Callithrix jacchus: one gene and its partners. The protein of the gene in region 4 interacts with the protein of the main gene of each other region in a pairwise test. Links are inferred from orthologs where the notes say so. Each region holds a gene or a part of one and is shown on either strand. Other genes may lie near its edges. The genes, in order: DNTTIP1, SH3RF2, AEN, HOMEZ, PRKAA2 and MED18.

Evidence for each region.
Region 1: the proteins of HOMEZ (region 4) and DNTTIP1 interact in binary tests that used the Homo sapiens proteins (3 or more experiments, as listed by UniProt). The two-hybrid records come from large-scale screens. The link is inferred for Callithrix jacchus from reciprocal best matches to the Homo sapiens genes HOMEZ and DNTTIP1.
Region 2: the proteins of HOMEZ (region 4) and SH3RF2 interact in a two-hybrid assay, tested with the Homo sapiens proteins (2 studies listed by BioGRID). The two-hybrid records come from large-scale screens. The link is inferred for Callithrix jacchus from reciprocal best matches to the Homo sapiens genes HOMEZ and SH3RF2.
Region 3: the proteins of HOMEZ (region 4) and AEN interact in binary tests that used the Homo sapiens proteins (3 or more experiments, as listed by UniProt). The two-hybrid records come from large-scale screens. The link is inferred for Callithrix jacchus from reciprocal best matches to the Homo sapiens genes HOMEZ and AEN.
Region 5: the proteins of HOMEZ (region 4) and PRKAA2 interact in binary tests that used the Homo sapiens proteins (3 or more experiments, as listed by UniProt). The two-hybrid records come from large-scale screens. The link is inferred for Callithrix jacchus from reciprocal best matches to the Homo sapiens genes HOMEZ and PRKAA2.
Region 6: the proteins of HOMEZ (region 4) and MED18 interact in binary tests that used the Homo sapiens proteins (3 or more experiments, as listed by UniProt). The two-hybrid records come from large-scale screens. The link is inferred for Callithrix jacchus from reciprocal best matches to the Homo sapiens genes HOMEZ and MED18.

The regions. Positions count from the first base shown.
Region 1 is NC_133506.1:41,039,845-41,043,344, forward strand, and holds part of DNTTIP1 (deoxynucleotidyltransferase terminal-interacting protein 1), read left to right. Parts: intron 1-2,324; coding exon 2,325-2,393; intron 2,394-2,655; coding exon 2,656-2,712; intron 2,713-3,276; coding exon 3,277-3,335; intron 3,336-3,500. UniProt on the Homo sapiens protein: Increases DNTT terminal deoxynucleotidyltransferase activity (in vitro). Also acts as a transcriptional regulator, binding to the consensus sequence 5'-GNTGCATG-3' following an AT-tract.
Region 2 is NC_133503.1:44,557,051-44,560,550, reverse strand, and holds part of SH3RF2 (E3 ubiquitin-protein ligase SH3RF2), read right to left. Parts: intron 1,401-3,500; coding exon 1,042-1,400; intron 1-1,041. UniProt on the Homo sapiens protein: Has E3 ubiquitin-protein ligase activity. Acts as an anti-apoptotic regulator of the JNK pathway by ubiquitinating and promoting the degradation of SH3RF1, a scaffold protein that is required for pro-apoptotic JNK activation.
Region 3 is NC_133507.1:17,840,927-17,844,426, reverse strand, and holds part of AEN (apoptosis-enhancing nuclease), read right to left. Parts: exon of another isoform or gene 2,516-3,500; 5' UTR 2,288-2,515; coding exon 2,187-2,287; intron 1-2,186. UniProt on the Homo sapiens protein: Exonuclease with activity against single- and double-stranded DNA and RNA. Mediates p53-induced apoptosis.
Region 4 is NC_133509.1:57,627,926-57,632,172, forward strand, and holds the start of HOMEZ (homeobox and leucine zipper protein Homez), read right to left. Parts: upstream 2,801-4,247; 5' UTR 2,699-2,800; coding exon 2,152-2,698; intron 1-2,151. UniProt on the Homo sapiens protein: May function as a transcriptional regulator.
Region 5 is NC_133508.1:93,774,051-93,777,550, reverse strand, and holds part of PRKAA2 (5'-AMP-activated protein kinase catalytic subunit alpha-2), read right to left. Parts: intron 1,925-3,500; coding exon 1,700-1,924; intron 1-1,699. UniProt on the Homo sapiens protein: Catalytic subunit of AMP-activated protein kinase (AMPK), an energy sensor protein kinase that plays a key role in regulating cellular energy metabolism.
Region 6 is NC_133508.1:65,000,426-65,004,484, reverse strand, and holds the start of MED18 (mediator of RNA polymerase II transcription subunit 18), read right to left. Parts: upstream 2,801-4,059; 5' UTR 2,734-2,800; exon of another isoform or gene 2,678-2,733; intron 1,580-2,677; 5' UTR 1,519-1,579; coding exon 1,446-1,518; intron 1-1,445. UniProt on the Homo sapiens protein: Component of the Mediator complex, a coactivator involved in the regulated transcription of nearly all RNA polymerase II-dependent genes.

The DNA of each region.
Region 1 (3,500 bases), on a different chromosome or scaffold from region 4:
CGTTTCGTGTTTCTTAGAACACTCCTCTGTTTGCTCTAACTTTATCGCCTACTCTTCTCCGTTGCCCCGCCCCCCCGCAACCTCTGACTGTTGGTGCCTTCCCAAGTTCAATCCTTAAACCCTTTCTCTTTCGTGGTTCACTGTTTTCATAGGTGTTTTCATCTAGTCCTGTGGCTTTGAAGCCAATTCGGCTGCTCATAATTGACACATTTATATCTCAGTCCAGAGCTATATTCACTGTTACCCAGTTCCAATCATCTTCTCACAGCAGCCAGACTGATCTCTGTAAAGATGAATTAGATCATGTCACTCCACCTTTTTTTTTTTTTTTAATGGAGTTTTGCTCTGTAGCCCAGGCTGGAGTCCAATGGCAGGATCTTGGCTCACTGCAACCTCTGCCTCCCAAGTTCAAGTGCTTCTCTTGCCTCAGCCTCCCAAGTAGCTGAGATTATAGGCATGCGCCACCATGCCCAGCTAATTTTGTGTTTTTACTAGAGACAGGGTTTCTCCATGTTGGTCAGGCTGGTCTCAAACTCCTGACCTCAGCCTTCCAAAGTGCTGGGATTACAGGGATGAGCCATCGTGCCCGGCCATCACTCCCCTTTTTAAAACTCTTCAATGACTTTCTTGTTTTAGGCAGAATAAAGTCCTAATGCCTTACCATGACCCACAGAGCCCTACCTGGATCGGCTTCTGCCTGCTTCTTTAACTTCATTTCATCTCACCTCCCTTTTATTGACTCTACTGTAGCTGTTCTGAACTCCTTTCTGGTCCTCTAAACAAGCTCAGGCCATTTCGCTTGCTGTTCTTAGTACCTGGAGTAATCTACCCTTAACTCTATATAGCTGGCTCCTTCTTCAGATCTTAGTTTAAATATCAGAGAGGTCTTCTCCTTGCACTCCTACCTCTGCTAAAATCTTGAGCTTTAAGGACTAATCTTGTTCACCACTGTATTCCCAGCCTTGGAATATGGCTCTTAGTATATGCACTGAGTTTGCTGAATTATTGACTAAATGAATGAACAGATGATAAATGAGCAAACTTCCTGCTCTAATAGAACTTACAGCCTAGTTAACAGACAGGTATGAATTAGATTACCGCACAAATGTATGTACAGTTACACATTGAGACTTCTTCACTCTGAAAAGGGACAAAGTTTGGAGAACTTTGAATCCAATTATGAATTAGCAGCTGTGAGCCATCCAAGCATAGACATGGTGCAGACTATTTGGTATGTGAGTCTAGAGCTCAGACGATAAGCTTTTGTCTACAGCTGAAGACTTTAAAAATTATGGACTCATGGTTTATAGATATTAATTGAAGCTGTGGGAATTTCTAAATGAGAGCAAATAGAATATGTAGTGAGAGGCGATGGGGGAAAAGAACAAGACTGAGGAGGAAAAGCCAGCAAAGAAGGCTAAGAAAGACTGGCCAGAGAAGTAGGAGGAACTCAAGGAAGTGTGTAGAAAAGAGTGTTTCCAGAAGGGGGAGCCCTCAGCGCAGTCAAATGCCACTGGCAGAGATCAGATGAACCCAATTCTCCACCTGCCTGCAAGGCCCCTGCTCATGCACCATCTCCCCTCTGCCCATTCCATCTTGTTCTTCCTCAAATGAGCGAGGTGTTCGCACCTTCAGTCTTCCACACTCCTCCCTGCTGCTGAAACGCTTTACAGCCTCCTTCACACCTCAACTCAGAGGCCCATCTTCTGAGCAAGCCTTCCCTGGCTACTCCCTCAAAGTAGCCCTCCCACTCTGGTGTTTCTCTGTCACATCTGTCTGGGTTTTTTTCTTTTTTTCTCACAGCATCTATCATGATCCACAATTACCATGTTTGTTTCTGTGCTTATTATGCAGGTCACCCACAGAATATAAGCTCCACAAGTGCTTGTCCTAGTTACTGCTGTGTTCACAGCACTTAGGTCCTATGTACTCAATATTTATTAAAAGAAAGACAGCAGGCCAGGCACAGAGGCTCACGCCTGTAATCCCAACACTTTGGGAGGCCAAGGCGAGTAGATCAGAAGGTCAGAAGTTTGAAACCAGCCTGGCCAACATGGTAAAACCCCACCTCTACTAAAAATGCCAAAAAAAAAAAAAAAAAAATAGCCGGGCATGGTGGCATGCCCGTAATCCCAAGCTACTGAGGAGGCTGAGATAGGAGAAGTGCTTGAACCCAGGAGGCAGAGGTTGCAGTGAGCCACTACTGCACTCCAGCCTGGGCAACAGAGTGAGACTTTGTCTCCAAATAAAAAAAGAGGGAAGTAGATAGGGTATGCTTACCCACAGAAACAGTAACTGGTAACACTTGCTCTCTTTCCCTTCAGGCTAAACTACTGTTTTCAGATGGAGAAAAAGTAGTACCCAGATTGACCCATGAGCTTCCAGGAATAAAGGTCAGAGTCACTGTGTTCTGGGGTATTGGAGGGAGAGGTCCTTCAGGCTAGGAAGCAAGTGAAATATGTGGGTCCAGGGAGGTCTCAGGTACCTTCCATTTGTAGGACCAGGTCCAAACAGCATCATTCTAGATGGGCTTCTGTGGCCTGGGTCAGAGCAGGGCTGGAGGGCTGTAGTCCAGGACTCTGTCTTCTGCAACTCCAGCAGACCTGCAGCTCCCAGACACTGGCCTTCTGCTAACTCCCTTCCGTTTTCTTTTAGCGTGGCCGGCAGGCAGAAGAAGAATGTGCCCATCGAGGAAGCCCCCTTCCTAAAAAGGTAAACCATTTTCTTGTTTTATTTTCTAGCTGAAAAGGGCTCTTCAGGCCAGGCGTGGTGGCTCATGCCTATAATCCCAACACTTTGGGAGACCAAACTGGGGAGGATCACTTGAGCCCAGGAGTTTTGAGACCCATCTTGGTGACATAGTGAGGCCCTGTCTCTACAACAAAAAAATAAATTAGCCAGTCATTCTGGCACATGCCTGTTGTCCTAGCTACATAAGAGGCTGCGGTGGGAGGATCACTGAGCCCAGGAGTTCAAGGCTGCAGTGAGATATGATCATCCCGCTGCACTCCAGGCTGAGTGACAGAGGACCCTGTCTCTCAAAAAAGGCTCTTTACCAATAAGAGAAAAAAATGGCTCTTCACTCCACAAAGTACTAGACTTCCTCAAAGCCTTTTTGAGCCTTCCTGGGCATGAGAGGTAGTTTTTCTCCCTGTCCCTGTCAAATATCATTTGATCTCTTTGGAAAACCATCTCTACCAAGTGACCCCGGACCTGCCCACAAGGTATGGGGAGTAACCCCAGGGGCAGGCCTCTGACAGCTGTTCTTTGTGGCAGAGGAAAGGACGGCCTCCTGGACACACCCTGTCAAGCGACCGAGCAGCTGCCGGCGTGGTGTGAGTAGGGACCAACAGTGTGGTGAGACCCTAAGGGAGCAGATGGAGAGAGGGGTACTGAAGGAAAAGAGGCCAGGGTTCTGTGCCTGGTAAAATCAGATCCATCCGCTTAAGTCATCATGGAGGGAGGGTACCCTGGTTTGAGGGGTGAGGAAGGAGGGTAGT
Region 2 (3,500 bases), on a different chromosome or scaffold from region 4:
CATAAGTTAAAAGACAGCAACAAGCATCACCTAACTTTCTTACTGTCTTCTCTTCCCACCATCCCTTCTGCTTCAAAGATATTATCAAGAACGTAAGCCTTTTACAAAAACTCTTATGTCTTTTAGTGGGAAAAGTCCTGGACTAGAAGTTAACAGATCTGACCTCTGCCACGGAGGTCACAATAAGTTAGTTGGAGTCATTACCATTCAGTGTGACCTCGATGTAACTTACATTATCCTGTGTCTCAGTTGCCTCTTTCTTTTTTTGAGACTTTTGTTGCCCAGACTGGAGTGTAATGGTGCGATCTCGGCTCACTGCAATCTCCACCTCCTGAGTTCAAGTGATTCTCCTGCCTCAGCCTCCTGAGTAGCTGGGATTACAGGCGCCCGCCACAACGCATGACTAATTTTGTATTTTTAGTAGAGACAGGCTTCTCCACGTTGGTCAGGTTGGTCTTGAACTCCTGACCGCAGGTGATTGGCCCTCCTCAGCCTCCCAAAGTGCTGGCCAAATGGCGTGAGCCACTGCGCCCAGCCAGTTGCCTCTTTTATACAATGCATAATTATGTGTCAAACCCTACGTAAGCACTTCACATATCTCATTTTTCTCCACTTCAATACTGTGTGGCCATTACTTATTCTACTTCCATTTTACAGATTATGCAAAATAAGTGTTTCAGAAGGGTGAAGTATTTTGACCAAAGTCACCCAGCTAGCAAGCAGCAGAGCTGGAATTCAAAACAAGATTTGTCTAATGCCAAAGTCATCTTTGTTACAAGCCGCTTTGGGGCCTCAAAAGATGTATAAAATATTCAGGAAACATCAAGGAGACTCAGTAACACATGTAGGGAGGGTGTGAATGATGTAGGGATGTTGGCCATAGCACAGTGGGGAGCTGGGGAGGAGGAGTGTTATGTGTGAGGATTCTTTTGAGGCTGCAATTTTGGTTCCTTGTCCACCAACACTAAAATCTCAGAGCTGAGACACTGTGCAAAGCGGAGGATCGAAAGAGTCAGGCCCCCACTGTCACTCTGATCCTACCTTTTCGATGCCATTTCTTGAGTTTTCTGGTTTCACCAGGATGGATGGTGGGGCAGACGCAGGTGGTTTTGGCAGAGACTCACTCTTGACGGGGATTTCCTTGCCTTCCATGATGAGAGAGCTGGCTGCTGAGTGGATCCGGGCCTCACTGCCCCTGCTGATGCATGTGAGGGCGGGCTCCCCCGTGGGGGCATGCTTGGGCCCCATCTCCACCACCATGGCTGAGGGGGAGGAGGGGACCCCCTGTGGCTGGTAGGATTGGAACTGCTGAGGCCGAACGACCATGGTGGGGCTGCGTCTGAGGGAGCCTACCACGAGAGTGGGGATCCCGGACTGGACGGGTCTCTGCAGGGATCCATCTGGGGAATTACAGGACAGAGAGGTTAGCAGCAGGGGCAGCTAGCAGTAGGTTGGGTGGGGCTGGGTAAGCAGTGCATCCTGGTATCCCAGAATAGACAAGTGCTTTCCTAATCTGACTACATTCACATTCTCTTGGGGTCTTTCAAAGGTGACTTTATTCTTTTTTTAGTGCTGTTTACTGATGCTGGCAGCAAATAGCTCTCTGGCTGAATGGTGTGTGTGTGTGTGTGTAGATGGGCTGTCAGCAGAAGGTATATTGCTTCCATTTGCCTTTGGTCTCTCTCTCTCTCTCTCTCTCTCTCACACACACACACACACGCACACACACACGCGAAGCAGACACAGAGGCAGGCAGACCAAATAGGAAACAAATGACAGAATCAGAGACAGGAGATTGAGAAACACAAAGGAGAGGCAACTGAAAAGACTGGGAGAGAGGAAAATAAGAAAAGAGAAAGGGAAAGTCTGACCAGCGACTTGCTGTGAAAATCCTAACAGAAGCTTTAGGCATGTGGTGGGGGGTCGCTTTTTGTCGGGGCCTGCAGGGAGAAAGGGTGAGTGGAAATCACTGTGACTGCTAGGCAAGCACAACAGCAGACAGAGGCGAATTTGGAAAGGGTATTCCACAGTGAGGGCTGTGAGGATGGGCTTGGCAATGTCTCATGACAGAAGATCTGGAATCAGACCTCCTGGGGAGCCTGGGATAAGTAAGTCACATCACCTCTCTGCACCTCAGTTTTCTCATTTGTAAGCTGGAGATAATAACAGTATGTCATCAGGCTGCTGTGAGGATTGCATTCTATTAGGTGTGCTAAGAGTTAGGATAGTGCCTGGACCATGATCAATGCTGCGTGTTTGTAAGCTATCCTTATTTTTGGTTAAAGGATAGCATATCCTTTAACCAAGAGTTTGGTTTTGTCACTTCCTGAGCTCATTCTTCTTCTCCTTTTTTTTTTTTTTTAATTGAAATGGAACTGTCTCAGTAAAAGGCCATTTCTTCCCCTGAAATTCTCTGGCAGGCAGGAGATCTCCTGCCCTCAGCTACATATGTCCTGCAGCTGACCTGGGGAATCGGGAGTTCATTGCATTCTGTGGGGAGGTGGAAGAGATACCCCTTTCTCCATAAGGGTTTAGAGCATTTAGAGAGCTGCAGGTTTTATCCCAGCCAGAGCTGCTAGTCTTCTGTGACACTCCACAGACTCGAGTTTGAATCAAAGTCATTTGTGTCCAGCACAGAGGGCCTGAGCCAAGGCCAGGCTGCATCGTGACTCTATCAAACCAGATGTGTACATGAAAAGCAGGACACTCACTTAACAGAGTCGGTGTCCTCAGCTGCTGCAAGCAAGCCAGTCACTATTTACACAACTGTGACCTTTCAATTTAGACATTTATTTTTCTACCGACAGCCCTGTGAGGTTCACACGGTCAATTCTCCCGTCATTTCTCTTTGCTCTGGAGAGACTGATAGCTTGCCAGCCTCACCTTGGGAAAAGACAGAAAGAGAAAGCCTCCGGGACCTGGGAAGTCAAAGAAGCACCAGGCAGACATGTCCTTAGGCTCCTGTAAATGTGTGAAAAATTGGTCCGATGCCTTATCTATTTATCTTGTCAATTCCTAATTTCCCGGAGAGTTAATGCTTTCTTATTACATGTGCATACAGTGCAAGCAGTCGAAGCTTCATGCCGATCAAGATTTTGCTAAGGTGGAGAGGGAGTATATTAAGGAAAGTGTGAGCAATTGCTTTTGGGATGCAACTCTGCATATCTAAGTGTGAATGTTTTTTCTTTTTTCAAATCAAATATATATATATATATATTTCCTTGAGACAGGCTAGACTGGAGTTCAGTTGGAGACTGTAGCTCACTGCAGTCTCAACTTCCCCGGCTCAAGCCATCCTCCCACCTCGGCCCCAAAAGTAGCTAAGACCACAGGCATGTATCACCATGCTCAGCTTCTTCCTTTAATTTTTTTAGAGATGAGGTCTCGCTATATTGCCCAGGCTGGTCTTGAACTCCTGAGCTCAAGCGATCCTTCCACCTCAGCCTCCCAAAGTGCTAGGATTACAGGTGTGAGCCACACACATTCAGCTGTGTATGAAC
Region 3 (3,500 bases), on a different chromosome or scaffold from region 4:
TCTTTTCTTTGCTAATCATAAAGCATGGAATTGCCTCGGAGAAGGGAGAGAAGAGCTCAGAAATGGTGATCCCTCTACCTGTGCCTCCGCTTTCTGGAAGTCTGTGGGCATGGCCCATGGTGAAAATTCTTCCAGTGTTTACTGAGAGCTGGGAGCACTGGAAGCACAGCTCAGAATGAAGTCAGAGTGGTGGTGCTGGGGTAAGCAGAGCAGAAAGAAAGGAAAAGGGGAAATGGTTGTGGACAGGAGGCTGGTGGAATCCTGGCCCAGTCATCCCCTCCCCACAGGCACAACGATAGGCTCCCTGGTTCGTTTCCCTTGCAGTGTGGCACTGGTGGAGGAGAGGCAAGCCCGTGCTGCCTGGACCAGCCTCTAATTGTGCTGGCAGGGCACATCCGCTTCTTAATTAGCAAAAGCCACAATATCCTGGTGGCTCAGAGAGCACGGCCCTAATTGTATTTCTGCAGCAACTGAAGGATAATTACCTTTCCCTATTGGTGCTACTTTTAATTCTCTCTCTTTTTAATTGTGACTGCTTCTTCTTTAGCCCACCCTTCCATCCTTGGATTTATTCTCTCTATCCAGAATAGGAAAGGGCTTGCCTGGTGATGGAGATGCTCAGAGCAGTGCGGGGGGCATGGAGAAGACGGGCAGTGCCCAGCTCTGAGTCCCAGCCCTTTCAATTGTCAGCCTGAGACAGGGCACAGTTCTGCGATGGCCCTGAGGAAACCCAAGATGTTCTTTTGTGGAAGATGTAAGGGAGAGGTGTCCCTTCCCCAGAAGCTGTTAAGACCCTCTTCGTCCACTCCCCAGTCAGGTGATGGCTCTGCAATTCCCAGCTGCAGAAAACTGAGACCTCCCTTCCCCATCCTTTAATCTCTCAAGAAACAGATGGGTTTATGGTCTTTAATTTCTTTTAAAATAATAATTTAAAAAGTAGCCCCGTGTCTCTTTGCCACTGTTGAGAGAGAGTTAGTCCTTCATCCTTGTATTGTTTCAGAGGCAAGGACCTGAGTGTACCTTTAGAGAACAATGCTAACTAAGGTAACCCCTTGGTTAACGGGAGAGCTTAACACCCTAGGTGCTTCTAGGAAAACAGGCCTTTTTAGGGAGCTGTCAAATAAGCTTCAATAGTAATAGACAAGCTAAAATGCATCACAAAGAGTTTGGAGAGAACCACAGCATCTCTCTGAATGTCGCCATGCAGGACTGATGGATGTAGCCTACATGAGCAGCCTGGCTCTAAAAAGCTACCACCCAGCCACTGCCCTACTAGAAGCTCACTATGAGAGCAGGGACTCCCGCTCATTATTCTTCCCAGTGCCTTGCATGCAGCCTGGCTCATGACAGATGAAACTGGTTGGCAAACAAGCAAAGTTCAGGGACAGAGTAGGACTGTGAAGTGTGAACAGGGTCAGTCCATTTTCATTGGCTTTTTCCTTTCAGAGCCAGTGAAGATGGACTTGAGCTGACTGTGGCCCTAGTTTTCAAAATTCTTTAATTCTGAGCTCTATCTGAATTGGGAGAAGAGGCAAGCAACAAAAGAGGCTGCTATAGTCTCAAAGAAATAGATCTTGAAAAAATGACCTGCCCTTGAGCCCACCAACTTCCACTCCCCACTTCTAATTTCTCCTCTGAATTTAGAGCTGTTCCCTTAGCAACGCTTGTTTCCATGGTTTCTTCCATGACAATGATCCCCAAACCCCTCCTCTCTTTTACCTCATGACAGTAATGGGTGATGGGGATCCTCAGTGTGGCCACTCCATGTTACCATGGTAACAATTAACTGAGTCTTAATTTATCTTTTGTGAAGAGGGCTAGGGAATATGAAGCTTTTGATTTGGAGGGGGAGGGTCCAGGTCTAGAGCTACCGTTCTCATAAAGAAGAAGTTAAGGGATTTGTCCTAATACTAGCCAGTAGGATTTAGTTCAAACATTTGTTCAGCCCTACTTTAAGCACAACTGAATTTGAGGGAATTAAAGGGGTACAAGACATAGCTCCTAATATTGAAGGGCTTATAGTCTAGCCCTAGGGCTCATGGTACCTCTGAACTCTGGCACAGATGGGGCCAATAAAGTATATGGCTCTTGATAGCACCGTCATGGTCAGGCATCTATCTATCCACTCCCAGTATCCCCTCCAGCCAAAAGCCAAAAAAAGACTGACCGAAGCAGTCTGTACTCACAGTAAGGCTTCTTCCAGGCTGCTGTCAGAGAGTTTCCATCCTGAAAGGGAAAGAACTTTGACTCCCCCTCTTTTTAGGAAAGTGGGGACCAATGCCAGCATCTCTGAGTGGGATTATTTGATGCAGGGATAAAAAGAAAAAAAACCAGACCTGCGCAACGCCAATGCTATGGACTGGGGCGATCTCCAGTTCCAGGATCCCCATCACCTACCTGCAGCAAGTCTTCCTGGGAAGCGATGAATCAGCTCTTACACTGAATTAGAGAGTCATTGTCTCCATCCATTCAGCTTTTCTGTTTGTCACTGAAAATTCAGGCAAAAGGCGCAGCTCTGAAGAATGAAAGTAGAAAAGCAAACAAATAAAACATCAAAGTGGAGAAGAGGGCACCAAATACCAAAGCTGAAAGCTGAGCAGAGTGAATCCAAAAGCTGACTATCCATTCTGCGTCACAAGCAATGCAGCTCTTCTAAATTCTAGCTTTCCATCTTCATCCCCAAAAGTTTTCACCACATCTCTAATAATGAGGACCAATTCTCTACTTTTAGGGGAAATCACAAAATTTTCTGGACCCTGGTAACAATAACCTGCACTGACTTTGAAAGATAATCACAGTATCTCCCAAAATGAAGGGGAAAAAAGCTATAGGACAATGTATAAGGCAGGTATGTTGAAGTAAGCTATGAACAGATAGGAAGAAAAGTCAATGCAATCTGGGTTAGCCAAAGTCAATTCCAGATCCTGAGTCCAGGACTCTGTGTTCTGTCCTTTGCTACTGGATGGAACTAAGGCAGATCCAATCCTTCTGGGTACCCTGCTCACTCAGCTAGTCAGAAAAGGATAAATGGCATCCTCTTATTGGTTGACAAGGCAATGCACACCAACCAATGAAAGGATGCTTCTTCCTTTCCAGCCAATAAGAGCTCACTTATCTTCTTGAAAGGAAAGTAGGCCCTTTGTTCATAAAGAAAATAAGCAGAAAGTGAATACATCTTTTTAAAAAAAAACAACTGTTGCTATGGGACATTATTGATGTGATAAATGATAGCTGCCCCAGAGAATTCATAAAGAAAAGCACTGCTTTGGAAAGAAAAGTACAAAAAGCAGACCAGCTGTCTGGCCTGGTCTGAAGGGAAGTTTCTATAGTAACATGTGAGAGAAAAGCATTTTAATATAAATACCCCCAAAACTATCAAATCCGTTCATTGAGGGAATTTTTGACCTTTTCAACTTATGCTGAAATTATAATGATTAAACATTTTTATATTAATAATAGATGAAGGAAACGAGGAGAAAAGAAGAGAATAAGAGGAAAAG
Region 4 (4,247 bases):
TGGACATGATGACTCATGCCTGTAATCCCAGCATTTTGGGAGGCCGAGGCAGGCAGATCACTTGAGGTCAGGAGTTCGAGACCAGCCAGACCAACATGGCAAAACCCCGTCTCTACTAAAAATACAAAAAAAAAAAGCTGGGAGTGGCGGTCACCAGCAATCCCAGCTACTTGGGAGGCTAAGGCAAGTGAATCGCTTGAACCTGGGAGGCAGAGGTTGCAGTGAGCCAAGATCACACCATTGCACTTCCAGCCTGGGTGACAGAGCAGGACTCTGTCTAAAAAAAAAAAAAAAATGCTGGGTGTGGTGGCTCATGCCTATAATCTCAGCACTTTGGGAGGCCGAGGTGGGCGGATCATGAGGTCTAGAGCTAGAGATCAAGACCATCCTGGCCAACATGGTGAAACCCCATCTCTACCAAAAATACAAAAAAATTAGCTGGGTGTCGTGGCGCATGACTGTAGTCCCAGCTACTCAGGAGGCTGAGGCAGGAGTGCTTGAACCTGGAGATGGAGGTTGCAGTGATCCAAGGTCCCGCCACTGCACTCCAGCCTGGCGCCTGGTGAGGGAGTGAGACTGTGTCTCAAAAAAAAAAAAAAGAAGCCAGGTTAAGGATTACTGTCTCATATCCTTCCAACTTAATAAAGGCAATAGTGGCAATTGCTTAAAGATGAACAGCTTAATGTGAATGAATGTAAAGAGTTGATGGAATACTCAAGAATTCAAGTGCATCTAGAAAGGACAAGGTATTTGTGATATTAGTTGGAAAGAGTGGAAGGGAGCAATGCTCAACTGGGCCAGGAGCCTGGCTTAACTGATCACCGGATTACATGACCAATACCCACAGTGCACTGGAAACTAAAGGCTAGTAGGCTACTAGTGAGCCAAAATCACCTGCTTCATTCAGTTGTCCTGTGTGCTGGGGCCAGTTTTGTGTGATTACAAACCTTCTTATGTCCATACCTTTTCAGTGTCTATATAATAATGTAATTAAATCTCACATAAACCTATGAAAACTCACTGCATTAAAATTGTTCCTTCAGGAATATTGATTTTTAAAAACTGTTCCTATGAAAACTAAGTCAAATGCTTTGGAGAGACATAACACAAAGAAGAGTATGCATTTTAAAAACTGTTGAGTCAGGAGTGAGGAAGACAACTGTAAAAGACTGAGGGGTGGAACTTAATCTTGAAAGTCCTCTGCACTCAAAGGTGTCTAAATTTCTTCACTTTTATAAATAAAGCAAAACAGGAAATCAAAGATGATGAAAGTGCCAGAGTGGCTCTCGTCTCAGACTGCACACTGGAATTACCTGGGAAGCTTAAAAACAAGGCCACCCTTCTCCCCATTCAGATTCAATAGTCTGTGTGGGGCCCAGGCATCCACAGTTTTTAAAAGTTCTCAGGGCATACCCAGTTTTGAGACTCCCTGTGTAGTTAATATTAGAAAGAGGATTGGGAACTCCGAACAGCTGACTTAGACACAAAAACAGTCTCACCACTACATCAAAAGATTGGTGAAATGAACGTACTTTTAATTATAATGTTTAAGATATGTATTCATTATCTTTAAAATTCCCAATCTGGCTTTTTCAGTTACTACCATCTAACCTAATCGTATAATATAAAAAGGCTTCAAGTGTACGATGGGAAGGAGGTTCACATGACAAAAAAAAGAAAAAAAATCTGATCTGGGCCCACATTACCAAACAGGTCTCAGCTTGAGTCTTCTTTCAGTTTAGTAGTCTCAGAACAGGACGCAACACTAGGAACCCCAGAGGACTTGGGTTCTCAGTTTCCTGGTTGGTTTTCTCAGTATGGCTGGGTACGGGAGTCAGAAGGGGCAATTGCTTCTAAACCTTTCATTCCCAAAGGCCAGATCCTCAGAAGCAAGGCCAGGTTCTATATGTGTGTTGAGGTCGCCAGGAGGTAGTCATGGGGGTTGGGGGGGGGGCGTGTTGGAGGGGGCTGGGAAGGAAACGTTTCTCCTATCCTCCATTTCACAGGCAGTCCAGAAGGCTCCGAACTGGGTCAGGGAACAAAAAGTTGTTGCACTTGGGGCGATGAGCCCCATGAAGCAGGCGAATCTCGATCCTACTCTCGCCAAGGGCGCCCCAACCCAACGTTTCCCTCCCCTACGCAGACACTCACCCCTCCCGTAGTTACAACAGGGAACCAAAAACTCCAGAGGAGAAAAAAGAGAGAACCGGGCGACTTCGAACCTAGAATTCTCCCCCCACCAGCGCGGGGATGGGGCTCCAGAGGTCGGAGATCGTACACGAGCTGGGAGGGGAAGTCCAAGGGGCTGGGGATCACTCACCGCGGTCCAGCCCGGGCGGCGGTTCCCAGCCTCGCACCATGGGCCGGGGGGAAGTGGGGGAGAGGGCAGGGGTCTCCGAGTTGGGAGTGGGGTTGCTGCCCGGTGCGGCCGCTCCGAGCCCACCCGCGCGAAGGCCGAAACCGGGACTGCCCCCCCACCCAGTCCCGGAGAGCGCGCCGGTGTACCCAGCCCTGCTGAGCAAGTTGGAGGCGGGGCGGATGGGTGGGGTGGGCGTCCAGAGGCGGTGCCAAGGTGGCCCGAGTCCTGATTGGTGGGCGCCGGCGGGCGGGCAGGGGCGAAGCGCAGCAGGCCGACCATTGGCTGCGTGGGTCTCGGCTGAAGTCGGCTATTGGCTACGTGGGCCTCAGCTGGGGTCATCTATTGGATGCGTGGAGCAGGGAAGATGTCCCCCTGGGGCCAAGCTGCCCAGCCTGGTACCTCCCTCTACCCTCGACCTATCGGCGCCGGACCTTGGAGTACACCGGGCCAGGATCCTTCCGAAATTCCCCAAGGAGGAACACTTTGCTGAACTGTCTGTACCGCCAACAACTCCCAATTTGTTTCCTCCTGAAGGAAGCCTTCCAGGAAGACCATTTCAGTGTCCCCTCCCGAGCCTTACACTCGAGCTGCGCCTTTCCCAGCGGAGAGCCCAACTGCCGCCAGCCCCGTCAGCTGTAACAAAGCGCCTAAAGCAACCGGGAACTTGTTCTAGAGATGGATCAGCTGTCTTGCCACCCGGAAAGACGAGGGCTTTAGGAGCCTGCGGGCGACTTAGGCCGTTCCTCGGGTCAAACTGGCGCTAGACAGGATGTTTCCAAAGACGAAGTGCTGGAGCAGTCACCTCATTGGGACCTACCAGACCCTCAGGCTCCCCTCCCTGCCCTAGAAAAGAGGACCCGGAGCTCTGCATATTTGTTTTTCGCTGTCTCGAAAGGGATGAAGACTGAGGTGGGAGAACGGCTTGACCCCAAGAGTTTGAGGCCAGTCTGCGCAGCATAACGAAACCTTGTCTCAAGAAAAAAAAAAAAAAATTTTTTTTAATTTACAAAAAGAAAGGGATGACAATAAAACGGACTTCACCAAAGCAGTATCCCACACAGTATAAAGTTATGGACAAAATTTGTATTTTAGGATTCCTCATCTTCCGTGAGACAAAGAAACAAATATAAGAAGCCAGGCTTGCTTATGTCAGCTTGGCAACATAACTTCACAAAGCCTCTGACTCTGACTGAAGTCTCTGGAAAGACCTTTTGAAGACAAAACAGGATGGGGCACCGTCCTCCGTATCTCTTGCCTGAGTCACTATATTCCTTAAAAGATAAAAGGGCTGGGTGCGGTGGCTCACAAACCTAATGTCAATGCTTTGGGGGGCCAAAGAGGGAGGATTGCTTGAGGCCAGGATACAAGATCAGCCTGCACAACATGGCGAGTCCCTAACTCTACAAAAAATTTAAACATTAGCCGGACTTGGTGGAGTGCACCTGTAGTCCCAGTTACTCAGGAGGCTGAAGCAGGAGGATCGTTTGAGCCATGAGTTGGAGGCTGTAGTGAGCAATGATTGCACCACTGCACTCCAGCCTAGGCAACAGAGTAACACTGTGTCTCTAAAAATTAGAAGGTAAATGACCCTAGCCCTTGCCTTTTCCTGCACATAAGATGATGTCTAAAGGGGTTAGGAATGTTGCCTCTGTAATCTATAACCAAATGTACTTTTACATCCAAACTTTTATGTGATTCTGCTTTAATGTAACTTGTGAGCAAGTTTGAGGTAACATCTGAGCACATACTGAACCCCCACAACCTGTATGTAAACTGTAAATTAAAACAGCATGAGAGCAGTCTGAAACTTTAAAAAATTTTGTTTTTGAGATTGGGTCTTACTCTGTCGTCCAGGCTGGAGTGCAGTGGTGCAATCTGGGCTCACTGC
Region 5 (3,500 bases), on a different chromosome or scaffold from region 4:
TTGGAGTGCTAAAGAAAGGCTGGGAAAAGAAAATGATACGTAAATCCAAAAGGAATCATCAGTCCTTGCTTGCAAGAAATCAGCAGCAGTCACATAAACAGCTACCTCAGCCATCATTTAAATATTCCAAAGGTTGGCTGGGCGCTGTGGTTCACGCCCATAATCTCAGCACTTTGGGAGCATAAGGCAGGCAGATCACAAGGTCAGGAGTTTGATCATAGCCTGGCCAACACAGTGAAACCCTGTGTCTACTAAAAATACAAAAAATTAGCTGGGTGTGGTGGTGGTGCCTATAACCCCAGCTACTCGGGAGGTTGAGGCAGAAGAACTGCTTGAACCCAGGAGGTGGAGGCTGCAGTGAGCCAAGATTATGCCACTGCACTCCAGCCCAGGCAACAGTGTAAGACTCCATCTCAAAAATAAAAGAGAAAGAAAGAAAAAAGAAAAGAAAAGAAAAGAAAAGAAAGAAAGAAAGGGGGGGAAAGGGGGGGAGGGAAGGAAATAAATTCCAAAGGTCAGAGGTCTCAAAAGAATCTTTTCTGGGACTGGGTGCCGTGACTCACACCTGTAATTCCAGCACTTTGGCAGGGCAAGATGGGTGATCGCTTGAGCCCAGGAGTTCAAGACCAGTGTGGGAAACATGGCAAAACCCCATTTCTACTAAAAATACAAAAAATAACTAGCTGGGTGTAGTGGCTTTCACCTATAGTCTCAGACACTCAGGAGGCTAAAATGGGAGGATCATCTCAGCCTGGAAGGTTGAGGCTACAGTGAGCTGTGATCACACCACTGCACTCCAGGCTGGGTGACAGAGTGAGACCCTGCCTCAAAAAAAAAGAAGTCTTTGCTGGCTAATGAAGAGAAGAGGAAGAGTTCTGGAAAGATGTCAAAAGAATGTGCTTGTAAACAAACATGGGTGAAATCTTAGGTAAGAACAAAAAACCTCTAAGAAACATGCCTTGATAAGTAATAAGCAGAATGCAATGAATCATCTTGCTACTATACAAAGATATGTTATATACAAAGGTTATATTCATAGGTGCATTAGCAATGGCACTTTCCAAAGTTTCTCACGTGACACAAGAGCCTTCACAGTAAGCCCACTAGCAGCCATTGAATTCAAAAACTTAGCAAAACTTTTTATGCTTTATGTTTTTAACCATATGTAAAATACATAAATCTCACTCTACTTTTCCATTTGAAATTTTTTTCAGACACTTTCTAAACATAACCATATTTCCAGGCCTTTTAGCATTATATAGGCAAAGATGAATAAGACACACTCTTTACCCTAATAGTCATAATTTAAGAGAGAAAAAAAGACACACTGAGAAACAACCAGATACAGGATGAGAATTAAATAAGAAAAGCATGAACAAAATGTTGATAAAATAGAAATGAAAGCACCTGTGGAACGTTAATGAATGAATGGAAGTCTATCAGGTCAAAAAAGAAAACAGAAAAGGTATCAAGGCAAAGAGAATAATATAAACAAAGACATAAAGACATAAAATCTATGCTAGGTTTAAGAAACAAGGACAAGTTCAGTGTGGCTGAAGCACTGGTACTTCACCTTCTCTTCATTGGCCAGGGGTGAGGTGGCGAGGGCAGGAAATGAGACTTTAGGAGAATCATTCAATTAACATCATTATTATTCCTATGAGAAAATATACGTAACAGAAACAAAAAGAATAATCACCTTATGTCTTTGATAGTTGCTCGTTTCAGTGGGTCGACCTGAAGCATATGCATCAGGAGAGTGGCGACAGAACGATTGAGATATTCTGGGATATAAAAGACACCACCTCGGATCTTCTTAAATAACGTAGGTACATGCTCATCATCAAATGGGAGGGTGCCACAAAGAAGAGCATACAAGATCACACCACAGCTCCAGATATCAACTTCAGGACCTGCATACAATCTAAAAAAAGATGGCAACACAAACCTAAAATGCAAGCATCACTATTTCTCTCTATATGTATCCTACTTCTATATCTAGGTAGTCTACCTTCAGTACATATTCATTTCCAAGGTCTTTATTGAAGTCCATGGCCACTCCCCAATATTCAGTGGTTGCTCCTCAAAGAGAATAATTAGGCTAGCCAATTACTATTCAAGTCTGGCAAGTGAATAGGGTATTTTTATTTGTCATAAATTCATTTAACTGAAACATACTAATTAAAAAATATAACACTTTCTGTGGTTGATTTTTGAGGGAAACAAAAGTAGATGACCATAAACTTGAAAAAATACTATAGTGTATAGGTTAAATCTTTTTCTTAAAGAACTAGTATAAGAAAATATACATATAATAGAATTTTTAGCCCTGGCACAACTTTAAAGAATATTTAAGGCCAGTCACTGTAGCTCACACCTGTAATGCTAGCACTTTGGGAGGCTGAGGTGGGTGGATTGCTTGAGGCTAGGAGTTTGAGGCCAGCCTAGGCAACATGGTGAAACTCTGTTTTTACTTAAAATATAAAATGTAGCCAGGGATGGTGGTGAACACCTGTAGTTCCAGCTACTCAGGAGGCTGAAGTGGGAGGATCACCTGAACCCAGGAGGCAGTACGGTGAGATAAGATTGTGCCACTGCACTCTAGCCTGGGTGAAAAAGATGCTCTGTCTCCAAAAAAAAAAAATTTTTTTTAAACATTAAAGTACTTAATTAGTACTGTATAGACAGCATTTATCCTGTATCACATTATCCTGTGCATTTACCACTTTCACTCTCATCACTTCCTAGCTCATATGGCTAAAATTAGCTTTGATCCAGATAACCTATGCTTATAGTGTTATTTCTTTTTTTCCTCTTACCTTTCTACAGCATTACAATTCCCATGACAGCATATTATCAAACTCAAACCTGAGTCTGAGGTAACAAAGTAAATCTCTACTATTCCAATAAAAAGGATATAATGTTTACATAAAAATGGCAATTGTTTACATCATTTGCTGTATTGTTCAAACTCTTTGCAATGGACTGAATGCTTACAGCCTCTCAAAATTCAAGTGTTGAAATCCTAACCCCCAAGGAGATAGTATTAGGAGGTGGGAACTTCAGGGATGTGATTAGGTCACTAGCGCAGAGTTCTCATGAATGGGACTAGTGCCCTTATAAGAGCAACCCCAGAGAGATCCCCCCTCCCTTTCACCATGTGAAGTCACAGTGAGCATACAGTAGTCTATCAGGAAGCAGACCCTCACCCAGATACCAAATCTGCTGGCACCTTGATCTTGGACTTCACAGTCTTCAGAACTGTGACAAATAAATTTCTGTTGTTCATAAGCCATCAACGTTATTGCATTTTTCTTATAGCAGCCCAAATGGACTAAGCTAATACTGGATCTGCTATTTGCAATAATATTTTTACCATATTTTCTCTCATAGGATTCTGTTAACTTTTAAAATCACACATTGATCACTGTAGAAAGACTTGAGTTTACCATTGCAATATGTATAAACATTTTTATAATGTACCAATGAATAAGTTATAT
Region 6 (4,059 bases), on a different chromosome or scaffold from region 4:
GTGGAAACAAGAAATAAATAAGTAAGGCTGAGTGCAGTGACTCATGCCTGCAATTCGAGCACACTGGGGATGCTGAGGTGGGAGGAATCATGTGAGTTCAGGAGTTCGAGACTAGCCTGGGCAACATAGTGAGACTTCATCTCTACTAAAAATAAAAAATAATAATTAGCTGGGCGTGGTAGCATGGGCCTGTAATCCCAGCTACTGAGGAGGCGGATGCGGTGGGATTGATTGCTTGAGTCTAGGAGGTTGAGGCTGCAGTGTGCTGTGACTGCACCACTACATTTCAGCCTGGGTGAGAGAGCAAGACTCTGTCTCCACATAACCAAACAAGTAAATGAAAACAAGGAAATAAAAGAGAATCAGATGGAGAGGAACTGGAGGGGACAAAGGGGAGGAAACTACTCTGAGATGTTGGAGTGGTCAGAGGACTCTCTAAGGGGATGACAGATGAGCTAAGACCCTACGATGAAAATGAAATGGTTAGCTGGGCGTGGTGGCTCATGCCTGGAATCTCAGCACTTTGGGAGGCCGAGGAATGCGGGTCACAAGGTCAAGAGATGGAGACCATTCTAGCCAACACAGTGAAACCCCATCTCTATTAAAAATATAAAAATTAGCCAGGCATGGTGGTGCACACTGTAGTCCCAGCTACTTGGGAGGCAGAGGCAGGAGAATTGCTTGAACCTGGGAGATGGAGGTTTGCAGTCAGCCTGGGCAAAAGAGTGAAGAATCCATCTAAAAAAAAAAATCAGAGAAACACGACCTAGAAAGATAGTTGCTAAGGGATAGTTACAGGGGAGTGGGAATCAGTGTTTAATGGATACAGAGTTGCAGTTTTACAGGATGAAAAACTATTTTAGGTTGGGCACAGTGGCTCATGCCTATAATCCCAGCACTTTGGGAGGCCAAGGTAAGTTGATCACTTGAGTCCAAGAGTTCAAGACCAGTCTGGCCAACATGACAAAACCTCAACTCTCTACTAAAAAATACAAAAATTAGGTGGGCATGGTGATGCACACTTGTAATCCCAACTATTCGGAGGCCTGAGATGTAAGAATCCCTGGAACCCAGGAAGTGGAGGTTGCAGTGAGCCAATATTGTGCCACTGCATTCCAGCCTGGGTGACAGATCGAGACTCTGTCTCAAAGGAAAAAAAGTTCTATTAAGTATTTTTTCAAGCTATTCACAATAAACACGAGTTCTAAAGATCTGTTGCTTAACAATGTTAATATACTTCACACTACTGAACTGTACACTTAAATATGTTATGATGACAAATTTAATATGTTTAATGCATATAAAACTATAATATGAAGTAACAATTAAAAACATAGCTGATTGCCAGAAACTGTGCAGGCTGCTTTTGTGTTAAGTCTCTCATCTTCACGGAAGCTGAACAGAGAAGAGGAAAACAGGTAATCCAAGTTCCCTGGTTCACTTACCCTGCAGCAGGTACTCCATCATGTTAATGGTGCCCCCAGTGACAGGCATCATGGTGACTGGAGGTGCCTCCATGGTGTCTAAGTTGAAGACAACACAACTCAGAATGCCCAGTCAGGTAAGGCATGAGATATACCTGAAAAAGAATTCACTTGTTTATACATCAGAGTGGTGGAGAAAGACCAGATCTGTTGTGGCACTAGCCTTCAAATCAAAAGATTCATTCATTCAAAAACGTCTGAGTATCTCCTTATATGGCCAGTTCCAGGAACTGATAATACAGAAATATAAAAGGGAGATCTAATCATGGAGTTATACCATAACCTTCTAGTCTCAAGTTCTGAAACTTCCAAGTTACCTGTGCAATCTTGAGAAAGTCCTACAACCCCTCACCCTGGGACTCAATGTATTCCTTATAAAATAAGGCCAATTTTTTTTTTTTGAGATGGAGTTTCACTCTTGTTATCCAGGCTGGAGTGCAATGGGGTGATCTCTGTTCACTGCAGCCTCCGCCTCCAGGATTCAAGCGATTCTCCTGCCTCAGCCTCCCGAGTAGCTGGGATTACAGGCATGTGCCACCACGCCCGCCCGGCTTTTTCTGTATTTTTAGTAGAGATGGGGTTTTGCCATGTTGGCCAGGTTGGTCTTGAACTCCTTGGCCTCAGGTGAGTCTCAGGTGATCCGGCCTCCCAAAGAGCTGGGATTACAGGCATGAGCCACCGCGTCCAGCCGAGGCCAGTATTTTTTAATTTCGGAGGCTATGTGGCTCTAATGACATAATAAAGAGGAAACAAAATTCAGAGGAACTGAAAAGTGACTTAAGGGCCCTTAATTTTATAGATGAGGATACTGAGACTCGGAGAGGGGCAGAAGGATACACAGAGCAAGTTGGTGGCAGAGTTTGGACCAAACTAGAATCTAGGCATTCCATCTCTCTAAAAATGCCTTCCCCTCTCCCTTTTTGTTTTTTGGAGACAGGATCTCGATCTGCAGCACAGGCTGGAGTGCAATGGGGAGTTCCCAGTTCACTACAGCCTCGAACTCCTGGGCTCAAGCGATCCTCAGCCTCCCGATCTACCTCCCAAGTAGCTAGACTACAGGCGGGAGAGCCACTGCGGCTGGCCTGAAAATGCCTTTTAAAGAGAGCCAAGAGAAAGTTATTTTAAGATGATGGTGTATAGGTCCCTTTAAGCCGCATCCAGAACACGTGTCCATTTAAACACTAGAAACACACCTCCTTGAGGCTCTAGCTTCTTCTCAGGAAGCCGGGAATTATATTCACCCGCGCACCTAGGCGCCTTTGAGCGACGATTAGATTCCAGCCCTCCGGTTAACCGAGCCCCGGAAGCCCTTAGACGGAAGCAACCAGCCAACTTCCTCCTCTTTTCACCTCCGATCGGAAGCCGAAGTCTCACAAACCTCGAAACTGCCGTTCCGGAACGTAAGGGTGCCGAGAAGGCCAAAGAGCTTCATTGCGGACAGACAACCAAAAACGCATGCGCGAAATCCCGGGCTGCTGTAAGAAAGATGGCGCCCTCCTTTGGAGCATTCCTCCGGGAGCTACCTGAAGCCTTGATGTCACAGGCCTTCCTCTAGGAAAATATTTTTAGGTTTGACAACCTGGAGATGTACTTGTGTAGAAAGTCTCTTGGAACTGTTAAGACTTACAGAGATTATCATGAACTTAAAAAAAAAAACAAAAACTGGGCTGGTCCGAAGGTAGTGAGTTATCTCAATTGATTGTTCACAGTTACACAGATCGAACTCCTTGTTCTACTCTTTCCCCCCTTCTCACTACTGCACTTGACTAGAAAAAAGAAAAATAAAATTAAATTAAATTAAAAACACACACACACACACACACAAACTGAGGGGTTAGGCATGGTGGCTCATGCCTGTAACTCTAGCACTTAGGGAGGCCAAAGTGGGCGGGTCACTTGAGTTCAGGAGTTCAAGACCAGCCTAGCCAACATGGTGAAACCCCGTCTCCACTAAAAATACACTAAAAAACCGGGCATGGTGGCGCATGCCTGTACTTTCAGCTACTGGGGAGGCTGAGGTGGGAGAATCACTTTAACCCGGGAAGCGGAGGTTGCAGCAAACCTACATTTCACCACTTGCACTATAGCCTGGATGATAGAGAGAGACTGTATCCAAAAAAAAAAAAAAAAAGAAAAAGAAAAAGAAAAAAAGAAAGTAAAGGAATAAAGAATGGCTACCCCCATAGGCAGAGCAGGCGAGTGGAAAAGGTGTAGGCCTAGATCCAGGAGTACTCTGCATGCCAAACTAAAGAATAGATGTGGCCAGGCACGGTGGCTCACGCCTGTAATCTCAGCACTTTGGGAGGCCAAAGCGGGCAGATCACAAGGTCAGGAGTTCAAGACCAGCCTGACCAACATGGTGAAACCCCGTCTCTACTAAAAATACAAAAATTAGCTGGGCATGGTGGGGCATGCCTATAATCCCAGCTACATAGGAGGCTGAGGCAGGAGAATTGTTTGAACCCAGGAGGCGGAGGTTGCTGTGAGCTGAGATCGCGCCACTGTACTCCAGCCTGGGTGACACAGCGAGACTCCGTCTCAATTTAAAAAAAAAAAGAATAGATGTGAGCTTTAA